Linked DNA regions of Drosophila melanogaster. The protein of the gene in region 2 purifies or fractionates together with the protein of the main gene of each other region. This does not show direct contact. Each region holds a gene or a part of one and is shown on either strand. Other genes may lie near its edges.

Region 1 (5,446 bases), on a different chromosome or scaffold from region 2:
GATGTAGACCCACCTGAGCACCATGCAGCGCAGCTTGAGGCACTTGACGCGCAGAATATCGATGGCCTTCTGGCTCTTGTCGGAGAAGCGCAGGTTGTCCGGATCCCAGCGCAGCTCCAGCCGCTCCAAGTTGCCGCAATTCGAGGCGATGGTGTCCATCAGCTGGTCCACGTGGATGTTGACGCCCAGCTTCTCTGCGGTGCCCATAACAATGATCCTGCAGGTTAAGAAAGTTCAGCTCATAATAAAATGTCTTTTCATTCGATGACCAATAGTGTCGCCTACTTGCAGTTGCCCAGCAGGGGCAGGATGCTCATCCACAGCTGGTCGGTGATGTGGGGCATGCCCGAGAGACAGCAGGCGCTCAGCTGATGACCCTGGCGCTGTATAAACTTAAGCAGGCCCTCATCCGAGATGTTGTCCGAGGAGTCCAAGTCCAGGGAAATGAGCGACCTAAATCATACTGCTATCGGAGTGCTTACACAGACGGGTAGGTACTGTCTCCGCTCACCTGGTGGTGCCCGATTCCATCCACTGCTTGAGAACGCTGTCGTTGAAGCCATTGATCTGGCCGGCTGAGAGGAACTTGAGGCTGGGGATCCTGCTCAGCATGTCCACGAGGCATTCGGTCGAAAGATCGGTGGCCGTGATGTCCAGCTCCTGCAGGGCGCACTTGTCCCACTCGGCCTGCATGACGAACTCCGACTTCAGGCTGGTGCCGTTCATGAGCAGGCAGGTGAGGCGCTTGGAACGCTGGATCAGGGTCTTCAGGGTGGAGCCGGTCACTTTGTTGCAGAAGTTGACGGCCAGGCACTCCAGCTGGATGCAGTTCGAGCTGAAGGCGTCGATGTGCGAGTCATCGATGAAGTTGATGCCGTACAGGTTGATCACACGCAAATTGGGCGTGGCCGACTTGAGCTTGTGCACGTTGATCACCTCGTAGATCTCCTCCTCCTCCTCCTCGCACTTCTCGTACGTGCCAATTAGATGCAGCACCTCCAGGCCGTTGATGAAGTTGTAGATTTTGCGCATGAAGCCCTCCATGAAGATCACCTCCGAGAGGCAGACGCACATGTAGCGCAGCTTGGTGGGAAAGGCCTGCATCTCGCTGAAGTCGTGCAGCTGCATGGCTAAGAAGTACACAGGACACTCTAGAGTTTAAGACGGACGATCGGCGACGTGGCGCACCCACCTGTGGAGAAGTCCAGCAGCATGTGGGTCAAATTGGGGCACTTGGCGGACAGTTCGTGGAGCACCGTGTGCGTGATCAGCTCGATGGGCAGCTCGATGTAGCGCAGAGTCGGTCCGAATCTCACCGAGATCAGCTGCAGCAGCATCTCCAGCGAGCCCACGTGCAGTCCGGAGACCTCCGGTCGCAGGCTCACGTTCTTCCACAGCCGCGTGTCGTATGCAATCTGCCGCCATCGTCGGCAAATCCTGGCCAGGCGGCAGATCTCGCGGTGCGACAGATACGAGAAGATGTGCAGCAGCACCTTGTCCGGCAGCTTCTCAATGGTCTGTGGATGAGAGTCACGATATATAGTGGTATATCCTATGGTACTACATAAGTGATTCAAATATGATCTCTAAATGTAAATCTAAACGACAGTTCGGAATAGTTGAGTGCGAATGTGGTGCTATATATTCTACGGGTGAGTGAATCTATAGATACTCTCTCTTACGCCACAGACTGGCTCTCCCAAATGAGTGGGATCCCTAAGTAATATCCCAAACCCATCGTACCGTATCGGCGAAGGGACTGCGAACTGTGCCGTCGGAGAGGTAGACCTGCGATGCCTCCACGGCCAGCTGACCCCAGATATCGGTGGATATATCCATGGCTGGGTGTGGATGATTCGGAACCACTTGCTTATATAAAAAAAAAATATAGCTACACACGGGGCAAACTACGCGTGCTCTGCCTGCGAGGCGAGAATATCCGTCGTATCGAGCTACTTTCGCGCTACTGCGAGCCGCATTCCCATCGACGTGCCATCGGAATCTCCAAAGATCCGCCAGGCAGTAGTAGACTCAAGAGAACCCTAGGCTTATTTATAGACCAGCGCCAGTAACGAGAGCACTGCCACATCGCATCACTCAATCACTCTACTTTCGGATGCATCAGCTGTGCTGTTCACGGGCGACGCACCACACCACTCACGCACTCTTTAAGAACAAATAGAACCACTAGAACCACCAGCACCACTCACCCAGCGGTGCACGTGGAGAAACATGCTGATAAAATCCCTGCCAAATCTCTTCCTTTCCTCGTCAGATTCAAAATCATTAGTAAGCTGTATAAAAGTATCTCGAGATATTTTACTATATTTTACTTATATCTAAAAGTATCTGATATTGCTGATAGTATCTACCTTTTGTAGGTTCGGATAACCTATGGATTCATCTTAAGATATTTCTACTTCTTAGATACTTTAAGATGCATCTGAAAATGCTTCTGTTTCCCGAGGAATAACCTTCTGAGCTTTATCCTTTAGCGCCTACTTTAAGATACATTTCCGCACAGCCTGCTTTTGCATATATATATTTAATAGTAATAATAGATTTCGAACCCCTTTTACTTTCTCAGTGCACAATGTTTGTTGCCAAGAATTCTATATATACGCCATCGTTCGTCTGTCTGGCTTTGTTTTGTTTACTACATCTAATATGTATATCTATCTGCACATGTGTATGTTCTATGTACAGGGTACTCACCAGTCGGGTCTTCACCACGCCAGAGTCGTGGAGTCCGATGGCCTGCGAGGAGGTTTGCGCTGCCAAAACATTCCAATTATCCATGGTGGGCACTGCGCTCTAGTTCGCGATTTGGATTGGGATCAGCCGGAAAGCTGAAGGTGTTCGCTGTCTCAGCTGTACAATATGTATGTATGTATGGTCTTGCTGGATCCGTCCGCTTCTATCTATGTATCTATGTATCTATGTATCTAACTAAGGGAGGAGATGTGCCGGCTATACTCGCATGAGATACATTCATTCATGAGCTAAACTATTTCTGCAAGGCTTTCCCAATTAGTCACACTGAATTCTGAGCATTTCAAACTAATTGTTATTTAGAAATTATTAGTTTACAAGCAGCTAAGCTAATTAAATTACCACATTTTGAAGCAAATTAATAGGAAATCTATATTCAGTAGTCTATTAGTTCTGGAAAGTATAAGTATATTAAGTAAGCAAGCGAAAGCAGTTAGTTAAAACTTCGTTTTTACTATGTTATTTACCCATTTGATTAGTTGATCAAACGAAATTGTTAGACACTTTCCGCAAATAAACGAGTGCGAGAAGGAAAGCTTTTAATTAATTAATTAATTGATGCCCGCAGGCGATTAAAATAGCAAATTCACAATTATGCAAACTCAGTGAACACACACACATTGTTCACTTGCGACTTTTGATTTTCGACGAGGATGGGCGTCACATCTGAATTTGTTTCATCCTTCGCCCGGTTTATTAATAGTTTTCCCTCAGCTGGTGGATCTGGTGGAAAAAACTGTTGGGGTTGCAAGTGCAACGTGGAAAGTGCAGTTTCGTAACTTTAGCACTTTCGTTGCAAGTTGAAAAAAAAAACTAGGGAAATTCACTTGGCAAATTCACTTATTCTGTTGCAAATTACTGGCAAATCGGATTGATAAATTCCGGCGAAAATCGACGGATTCTGCGGCTTTACATGGGCGAATGCTCCGCGTTCTCGACGGCTCCACAACTCTGAGAAAACTGAGAAAATCAGGCGTCCGCGGAAAATGGTTTATGCCAAAATTCACTCGGCTAGTTGATCGTACTACATGCGGAGTACATGGCTACATGGGCATCTGGGGATCTGTGGATCTGTGGATATGGAGGGGTTATTCGGGGCGATCTCTGCGAGTGCAGGCGTCATTTGCTTTTCCCATGGCGAGCGGCCAACAGAGGGGCGGTTGCCCAGGGGGCGTGGTCGATCGTTGGGAAACAGATATTACAAATGCTAGAAACTACAAAAAATCACTTCTTATGATTTGAGCACTGGATTTTATTCAAAAATTAGCCCATATCATCTCAGATTTTGATGATAGTTGTTTTTTTTTTAGTATAATAGTTTTAGTTAATAGCGTAATTAATGGAATTCAAGATTAAAAATAAGAATAGTTCCTAGTAATCAGATTGAACTGTTTACATTTGATTAGAAAGTGGGAACCTTATCAATTTCATGCATATATAAAATAAAATACACATAATTAATTAGTAATTTCTGGATGCAATTAAAGCTTCTCTTTATTGTTTATGTGATGCAAGGGGTTAAAATGGCAGCCTGGTGACTTTGATGATCTGGATTCCGTACTGCTGGTTCCTCCTCACAAATTCCTGTGACCAATCGCCGCTCAGACAGCCGCCGTCGCAGTTGCAGCCGAAGATGTTGCACGATCCCTGGCCGCAGTAGGCGCCCAACTGGGCAACACCATCGGCGCAGATCGTCACTTCGCAGCCGTTGGGATAGTTTTCGATTGCACGCACAGCCTCGCAGTCGCCTCTGTCCATCTTGAATTCCACCAGCTCCCGGGAGGTGCAGCATTCCGACCGAGCCACATGGACAAAGGCCAGGGCGCAGATCCCGACGAGAAGCAGGCTGACTACTGGGGATGCCATGATTGGATTTACTGGGAGAACTAATGCTTTTCACCCCGGCAAACAGCGATTTTATACGCTCACAGTGGGTGCAGGGAATTCGCTTAGTTGGCAAATGCGCTCCAAGTTATTAGGAAAATTGATTAGGCCCAGTTCTCGGGAAATTTACTTCTAACATAACTCAAACACATAGTCATGAAATACTGTCTAGTTACTGCGCTTTAGTTTAAATAAAACTTGTAATAATCAAAAATAAAATTTTAAACACAGATCACTTGTAACGGAAATCCCATTTGAATTTTGGTGATCGGCGTTGCCAGACGGCTAAAAGCGTTAGCACTAGCGGCCCGTTCTGATCAGAACGCAGTGGCGAAACGACGGTCGTTCAGTCGTTTCTTCGCCGCTCAACCGTTCGGTCGCTTCTTCGGTCGCCCGCCTATCGATATCGATAAACGTAGGTGTGCCTGCAGTGCGCCTGTGTGCGTGTATGTGTCAGCAGTGCAGTTTTCCTGTTTATCCCTGAATTCTGTGAGAAATGTGATATAGAAACAGCATTAGCGAACAACTAAACGCTTTGCGCAACCGAAATTCAGCTGCTTAAAGGGACATCGAAAGTGGTAGCTGCAAACATTATAGTTTGTTTATATCTGGTACAGTGCGCGTTGCAACCTGTTCTATGTGTGTGTGTTTGGGCAGGTGCGACAGTGTGTGTGTGTGTTAAGGGACGCCCAAAGAGTTGTTGTTGTTGCAAAGTTATCGATTTTAAATTTCAAGAGATGCTCACTATCGTCAAAAAAAGGAGTTTTTTAAACTAATCAGATAAGCTAAC
Region 2 (6,787 bases):
CCACATTGACCTGAGATCCAATGAATTGATGAGCTTCCGGGATACAGAAAATGCTGATCTACCGTCCTGGAACCCACAGCTTCGAATTTCCATCGATGACAATCCTTGGAGCTGCCAGTGGATGCTGAATTTCTCGCACATGCAACCTCAACTCTTTAGACTATTCCAGTACTCCAAGTATATATCCCACATCAATATAAATGGCCTGAGTTGCACACCGCAAGAGCCGCCCTCGGAAGAACCGCCCAAGGTGCGAAGAATCATGCACGTGAGGATCAATGGGACAGACTCTTCGATTCCCGTGCCACATCCACATGGAAATGTTTCCAGTTTCACTGTCCTTTACGGCAACCCCGTAGAACTGCACCGAAGTCAGCGATCTTTAGCCTTGATAATCGTGTTTATGTTGCCCCTGGGCATCGCATTCCTCTTCCTGTTGCTATATCTATACCTCCATTGCGAGCGGCTCTTCCACTTGTCCTATTACGCCTCGGGATTGCCCTGTTTTGGTGGCGAAAAATCATCCAGTGGGCCGAGGTTTGTGGATCATGTGGACATAGTGCGCTATCCCATTGCTAATGGCGGTTCCAGTTGCCCAGTGGATGTGGAAACCGAATTGCCAGATGGATACGAGACTCCTGTAAGTGGAGGTACCTCGATTTGCAATTGCACTGGTCACAGAGAATCCACCTGCTCGAGGACCCATCATGTCACCTACGAGTCCTTACCAGCTGAGCTGCCCTATCAACTGTACGCAGAGATCAAGGAGCAGGCGGATGAGAATGGGGATGCGGATGAGGTGCTGGCCGTGACTACCGGCCCTACGGCTCCCATCTACGATCATCTGTCGTTTGTGGAGGAGATGCCAAAACTGGATGAACTGAGAGATATATCCTAGGTAGAATCCATCTTTGATATACTTAATTCCTTAATAATTTCTAGGCTTTGTAAATTTCAGTTGTCTTTGAATACGTAAATAGAGAACACGAATCTGGATGGATTATTCTTTTACAGTTTAAGGTCGCACAACAGCAAAGGTACTGCTGGTTACACCTAGGGTAGTTTAAGTAAGCTCAACTGTATTAATAAAGAGTTGATTTGTTTTTATTGCTAAGTTTTTTTTTAGTTCGTAGTGTATTTGTAAAGAATAAAGTCTCTGCACCCTGATTTGCTGTGCCCTGCGTTGTTATTATTTGTTAAGTTTTTATAAGTCTAAATTCGATTTAAAATTTCCATTGGAATTCATGCAATCATTTCATAATTGGTTTACGAGAGCTCACAACAATACGCCGTATGATGTTTGGCTTCTTAATTGTGGGTTTTACGTCCTGGTTGTCTTCACTTTCCTTTGGCTTGTCATTTTCCTTGGTGGTTTCCCCATTTGGACATCTCTCAAGCGGACTCAAATTGTGAACAATGGGATCGTTCGCGCTAAACTTCACAGCCTTTTGCGAATCTTCGGCGAAGACTTGCCGTTTTTTGCTGAGGATAGAGCGGATATTTTCGTTGGTCGAGTCTTTGATGACGGGAATCCTCACAGGAGTTCCTTTGCGCTGCGGTTTTTGTGGCGTTGGACTGTCCAGAATTTCCACACTCAATGTCCCATCTTGCTTGATGGGAGATTCCTTGGCCGCCTCATCGCTGCTGTCTTCAGTTTCCGTTTCCAGCTTTATGAGCTTCACAGGAGTTCCTTTGCGCTGCGGTTTAGCAGGCGTTACTGTACCAGGCAGTCTTGCTCCCAGCAGTTCTTCGTTGGACTTCACCTTTATCCCTCCCAGTCGCTGCTTAACTGGGGTACCCTTCATCAAAGGTTTGGCTGGGGTTTCCACGGAATTTAGACCCGTTTCTTCGTTTTCATCTTCTTGTATATTCATTTGAGGTGTTACTCCATCGTTTTTGGCTTTGACTGGAGTGCCTTTCAGCTGCGGTTTTGGAATTAATTCTGGAGCTTCCAACTCCTTTTTGATATCAACCGCGTCCTGCTGTTCCAAGTTTAAGTCGATTTCTCGTTTTATTTTCATACCCATAATTGTCTTAATAGGTGTTCTTTTTATACAAGCCTTGCTTTCGGATACCTCTAGTTCCTGTTCGACTTTTACGGATGTGTCTTTTAGTGCTGGTTTTAATTCTTGGCTAAGTGGCTCCACTACCTCTTCTTTAATGGCAGGCTTTAAGGGCGCATCAAGAACAATAATTTCCGTTGCAGTTGGAAAAGACTTGCTTGTGGTTTCCGCAGCCGATTTCAAAGATGTTTCTGGATGTGTATGTAGTTGAGCTGATGATGATGGAGATTGTGCCGCTACACTGACAATGCGGGGCAATGCAGTTTTAAGTTCCGCCTCCTTGATGTTAAACTCCATGGCCTGCATGGGCTTGAAAACGATCTTATGCTCCGCCAGCAGATTTTCGCGATCAATGAGCACACAGCGGGATTTTAGGGACTCAAAGCGCCAGCTGAAAATATAAATAATTATAAAATAAATATAGCTTTGAAAAGGAATATAGTGTATATACCGTGCCATTTCCTGCTGAACGCATCGCATCCGTTCCTCCAGTCCGGCCTTCTGGATTCGCATGCTATGCAGCTGCGCCTTCAGCTCGTCCGTTTCGCGTCTAAATTGGGATGATTTTTAGGAATTAGGGGTGTGGAGGCTACCTAACTGGTCAGCAAGAACAGGCCGTAGCTGGTGAGGCTCAGCAACTTATTGCCGAGCGATGCCAGCGCGGTGTCGACCAAGAGGGGCAACTCATACTTGCAGAAATCCAGCATCGAGTCCAGCCAGGTGACCGACTTCTCGCTGGCCAGCTGGCGCAGCCGCTCCTGGGAGAGATTAAGCTGCCGCTCTAGGCTGTCGTTGGCAGTCATCAGTTGCCGGATGCGCTCATTCAGCTTATCTGGGGGAATACTCCTATATTAATCTTCTTTACAGACCAATGAATGTGGATTACTCACTTTGATAGGTCTTGTCCGCACTGCAAAAGATTGTGCTACAGGCCTGCAGCTCCGTGTGCATGGCCACGTTTTCCCGCTTGAGACGTCTGATCTCAAATTGGCTGTCCGTGAAGATCTTCTTCATATCCAGATAGCTTTTTTTCTGGGCCGCCAGGATCTGCTTCATCGCTTGCCTTTGGTCGTCCACCTCAGCGAACAGAGAGTTGCCCTTGCGGTCTATAAAAATAGTGCATAAAGCCCTTTTTAAAACAAATTTTAGGGTGCCATGTTAATCTTAACTACCATTGTTTTCAGGGGCGGAGGTAAGCAGTGCTATCTTGGCATTGGCATCCACCAGTTGCTCCTGGCAACTCTCCAGCAATTGCAGCTTTTCCTCCAGTTCATCCCGCTTGCAGTTCAGATTCTGTTCCATGCAGCTCACCCGATCTTGCAGACATTCGATGGTTTTCTGGGAATTCAGGATAGTATTTAAATGATGTAGTTGTTTAGATACTTATGAGGAATATTTCTACCTCTTTTTCAGCCACCGCCAGAGTGTTTGCGATGCGCAAGTCCTCATACTCGGCCAGCTTTTGCAACAGCTCACAGTTTTCGAGTTCTAGGGCATTCAAACGGGCAAAAAAGTCATCGTGAAGCTGATTTGACCTGGAGGCGGACTTTTCCGCCAGATTCTTTTCAGCGGCAGTCAGCTTATCTTTCAGTGATCTGGTCTCCTCCACCTTGGCGTCGTAGTCTTGCTGTAGGACATCCTGTTCCTCTTTCAGGGTCTTGAACTTTCGACGCAGCTCCTCCAGTTCCTGGCCATTCCCTCCAGACGCGATGGCCACAGGCTGGCTACTCAGATGCTCCAGTTCCTGGGTCAAATACGATTCGGCGGCGAGGGCAGTGTCCAGATTCCTTTTTAGCTCATAAATCCTTTGCGCATCCTTTTCGCTCTGGTCTTTCAGCTGCTGGTGGCGATCGTGCAGCAGCTTGTACTCCTCCACGATGTCATCCACGCTAAGGGTGTCAAGGTCCAAGTTTTTGTACATTTGGTTTGCATAAAAAAGACGCCAATTTTTTATATTTTTCAACCGTCAATCGATATTTGACTCTAAAGTAATCGGTATGGATTGCTCGCATTGTTGATCGATTACAAATAACAGGGAGACTTGTGCTGGTAAGCGCAGACTAACAGTGTTGTTACATTAACGGTTAGCGCCATCTTCCGGAAGAGAAATGCATTTTTAAAAATTTTGACTAAAATTTCACTCAGTTTTAAGTTTTAAGCTAAACAATCTTTCTTTTATTCTAAGTAGAATATTACTTTTGCCTTTGCAACTTTTTACAGCAAACTTCTATACGGCAAGCTATGTTAACCGCATGCTAACATTCAACTCGTTGCCGCCCTCTTCCGGTAATTCAAAGCATTTTTAAATATTAGGCAATATTAAAATTTTTCTTTATTCTAGTAATTAAATGAATGAAAAATGAGCTGATACTAAAAAAAATAGTATAATAAAATAGAAATAAAAGGGTATAAGCTAGGACGCATGCGCTCGGTGTGTTTACACACATATCGTTACCTTGGCGACAATTTTGTTTCCAAACAGCTGGCTCACACTTAACACTAGTTTATTTAGGAACACAACAAATAAAAATTGTAAAATGCAGCAAGATGATGAACAGGAAAAATCCCAGCAGCTACAAAACTTTCAATCCGATGACTTACTGGAAAAATTGAAGTTACTCAACTACGAAAAACATTTGCTCAAGGAATTCAAACTAAAACCGCTGTCGCGTTTCTATTTCGTAAAGGCCACAAATCCCGGAGAGCAATTCTATATGTTTACTTTAATATGCTGGTGGCTATGCAAGAAACTCGGAAAGGATATGGAGCGGCCACAGGAGTACGATGATCCAAACACTGTGGCCGCCAATATCATTAAATTGCTTGGGGAGATTGTGAGTACTAGGACTAAGTTGTATTACTACAATACTACAATATTTTCATTGTAGGATGTCCCAGTGGATTTCCAGCCCAATAAGCTGATTCGTGGAGCTGGACCCATCTGCCTGTCGGTCCTGGAAGTTCTCTCCACACAAGCCTGCAAAGTGGCCCAAGTGGGCTACCAAAAGCTGCACATCGCCCAGGAGGAGGAGTTCCTGGGCGATTATCTGGAGGACAATGCAGAGATCATATTGGAGAAACTGGAGGATGAGCAGAATGCAGCCGCCTTAAGTGATGATAGTGACATGGAGTTGGAGGCGCACAATTTCCGGCAGCTGAACTGGTTGAATCGTCCGCAAAAGAAATCCAATGGAGATGTCAACCTGGATGAACGAAATCCTGAATTAGATGCTCGCATGAGCGATCATCAGGAGTGGCATCTGGAACTGGAAAGAGTCCTGCCCCAACTGAAAGTGTTCGTCAAAGCAGACGCCCGGGACTGGAGGACCCACATCAGCCAGATGGAGACCTTAAAAACAAACATATTGGAAAACTCCGATACCGCCGAGGCTCAACTAAAAAAACTGCACAGCGAGTTCACTTTCGACTTGGAAAAGATCGAAAGCCGCGAAAAACATTTGAACAATGAGCTCAAGCCACTGATTCAGCAGTTCAAGGAGCTATCCATTGAACTGTCCACCATCCAATATGCCCAGAATCAGTTGCAGGAGGACATGGAGAAGCAGACCGCAGAGCTCAACGAGGTCATGATGGAGCAGGAGCTGAAAAAGGAGGAAATGGAGCGACGCGGACAGGCCATGTCGGATGGGAGTGAGTATGGGAAAGTTAAGAGATATTGGGTTACGAATGAAGTGTATATACCATCTTTTCAAAAAGTAACAAAAAATATTCTCATGAATACATATATCAGCATTACAATGGAATTTTTCAAAATTATAAAGAGCACTGACATTCCCATAGATAGCAAATATGGTACCTTTAACACCGACACCTTTCAAACTCTATTTGCCCTGCAATGATAGGACGTCGTCTATTTGCCATCGTAGATCCCTGATTCTGGTCAACAGAAAATCACAGATCCCGATCCCTTTGGAAGCCACCCACAGTGCTATGCGGTGCTAATCCCAATCCCAAAATGCCTCTTCCATTTCTTTTTTATCAGGTTCGGTGCAGCAAATCAGGAAAGCGATCGCCAAACTGAAGGATGACACTGCGCAACTGAATCTGGAGGTGGCTCTGCTGGTGCATGCCCACGACCAGGACATTGTGGTGCGGCAGTTGCAGCAGAACCAAACCACCGACCTGGCAAACAACCCATAAAACATATACCCCGCTGATAAGCACTACTTAGCATGCTAAATGGTACAATATATCTGTATATATCCCTACCAACCAGCCAGCCCGATCTTTTCACACCTCGCGAATGGGTGTGCTCTCGTTTGCACTCGATCTGCAGGAGATAGCTGCACTGGAAAAAAATACGCTGATAGGAGCGTTTATTTTTATTAAAGATGTTTGAATTTATGCGATTGTTTTTACTACAACGGGGTTTTACGCTTGATAACTTCATTTTCTCCGTGTGCACATTATTCTTGTTCGAGACTAAACAAAGAGCTGTTGCTGTTGTGGCCTTTCCAAATTTTAGTTTGTGATTTTTTTCTGAGTGCAAGAATGCATCAGGGGACTTCATTGGACCACCGGCGTTGACCCCGCCCGCTTTGACGATCGTTTGATTCGATTGCCGGTGCCGCTGATAAGTTTCGTAATTGGTTGCCAAGCCAATTGGGCGGTCAATTATCACCTCCTTGTTATCTGCTCCTTGGACAAACACACACACTCACACACACAGTCAAACTCACAACGAGGGTGTAGTTGCAGCAACA

Evidence for each region. Proteins that work in one complex are often made in the same cells at the same time.
Region 1: the proteins of Spindly (region 2) and FipoQ purify together in Drosophila melanogaster (affinity purification with mass spectrometry, with the first as the bait; one large-scale study listed by BioGRID). This does not show direct contact.

What each region holds. Positions count from the first base shown.
Region 1 is NT_033777.3:29,493,071-29,498,516, reverse strand, and holds the start of FipoQ (F-box involved in polyQ pathogenesis), read right to left. Parts: upstream 1,977-5,446; 5' UTR 1,840-1,976; coding exon 1,744-1,839; intron 1,518-1,743; coding exon 1,193-1,517; intron 1,131-1,192; coding exon 512-1,130; intron 454-511; coding exon 286-453; intron 218-285; coding exon 14-217; intron 1-13. Other genes in the region: diedel, read right to left, coding at 4,291-4,638.
Region 2 is NT_033779.5:3,526,303-3,533,089, forward strand, and holds Spindly (spindly), read right to left. Parts: upstream 4,016-6,787; 5' UTR 3,985-4,015; coding exon 3,466-3,984; intron 3,402-3,465; coding exon 3,236-3,401; intron 3,170-3,235; coding exon 2,954-3,169; intron 2,896-2,953; coding exon 2,754-2,895; intron 2,614-2,753; coding exon 2,515-2,613; intron 2,455-2,514; coding exon 1,251-2,454; 3' UTR 1,085-1,250; downstream 1-1,084. Other genes in the region: CG8852 (uncharacterized protein), read left to right, coding at 1-898; IFT57 (intraflagellar transport 57), read left to right, coding at 4,601-4,897, 4,952-5,714, 6,067-6,224.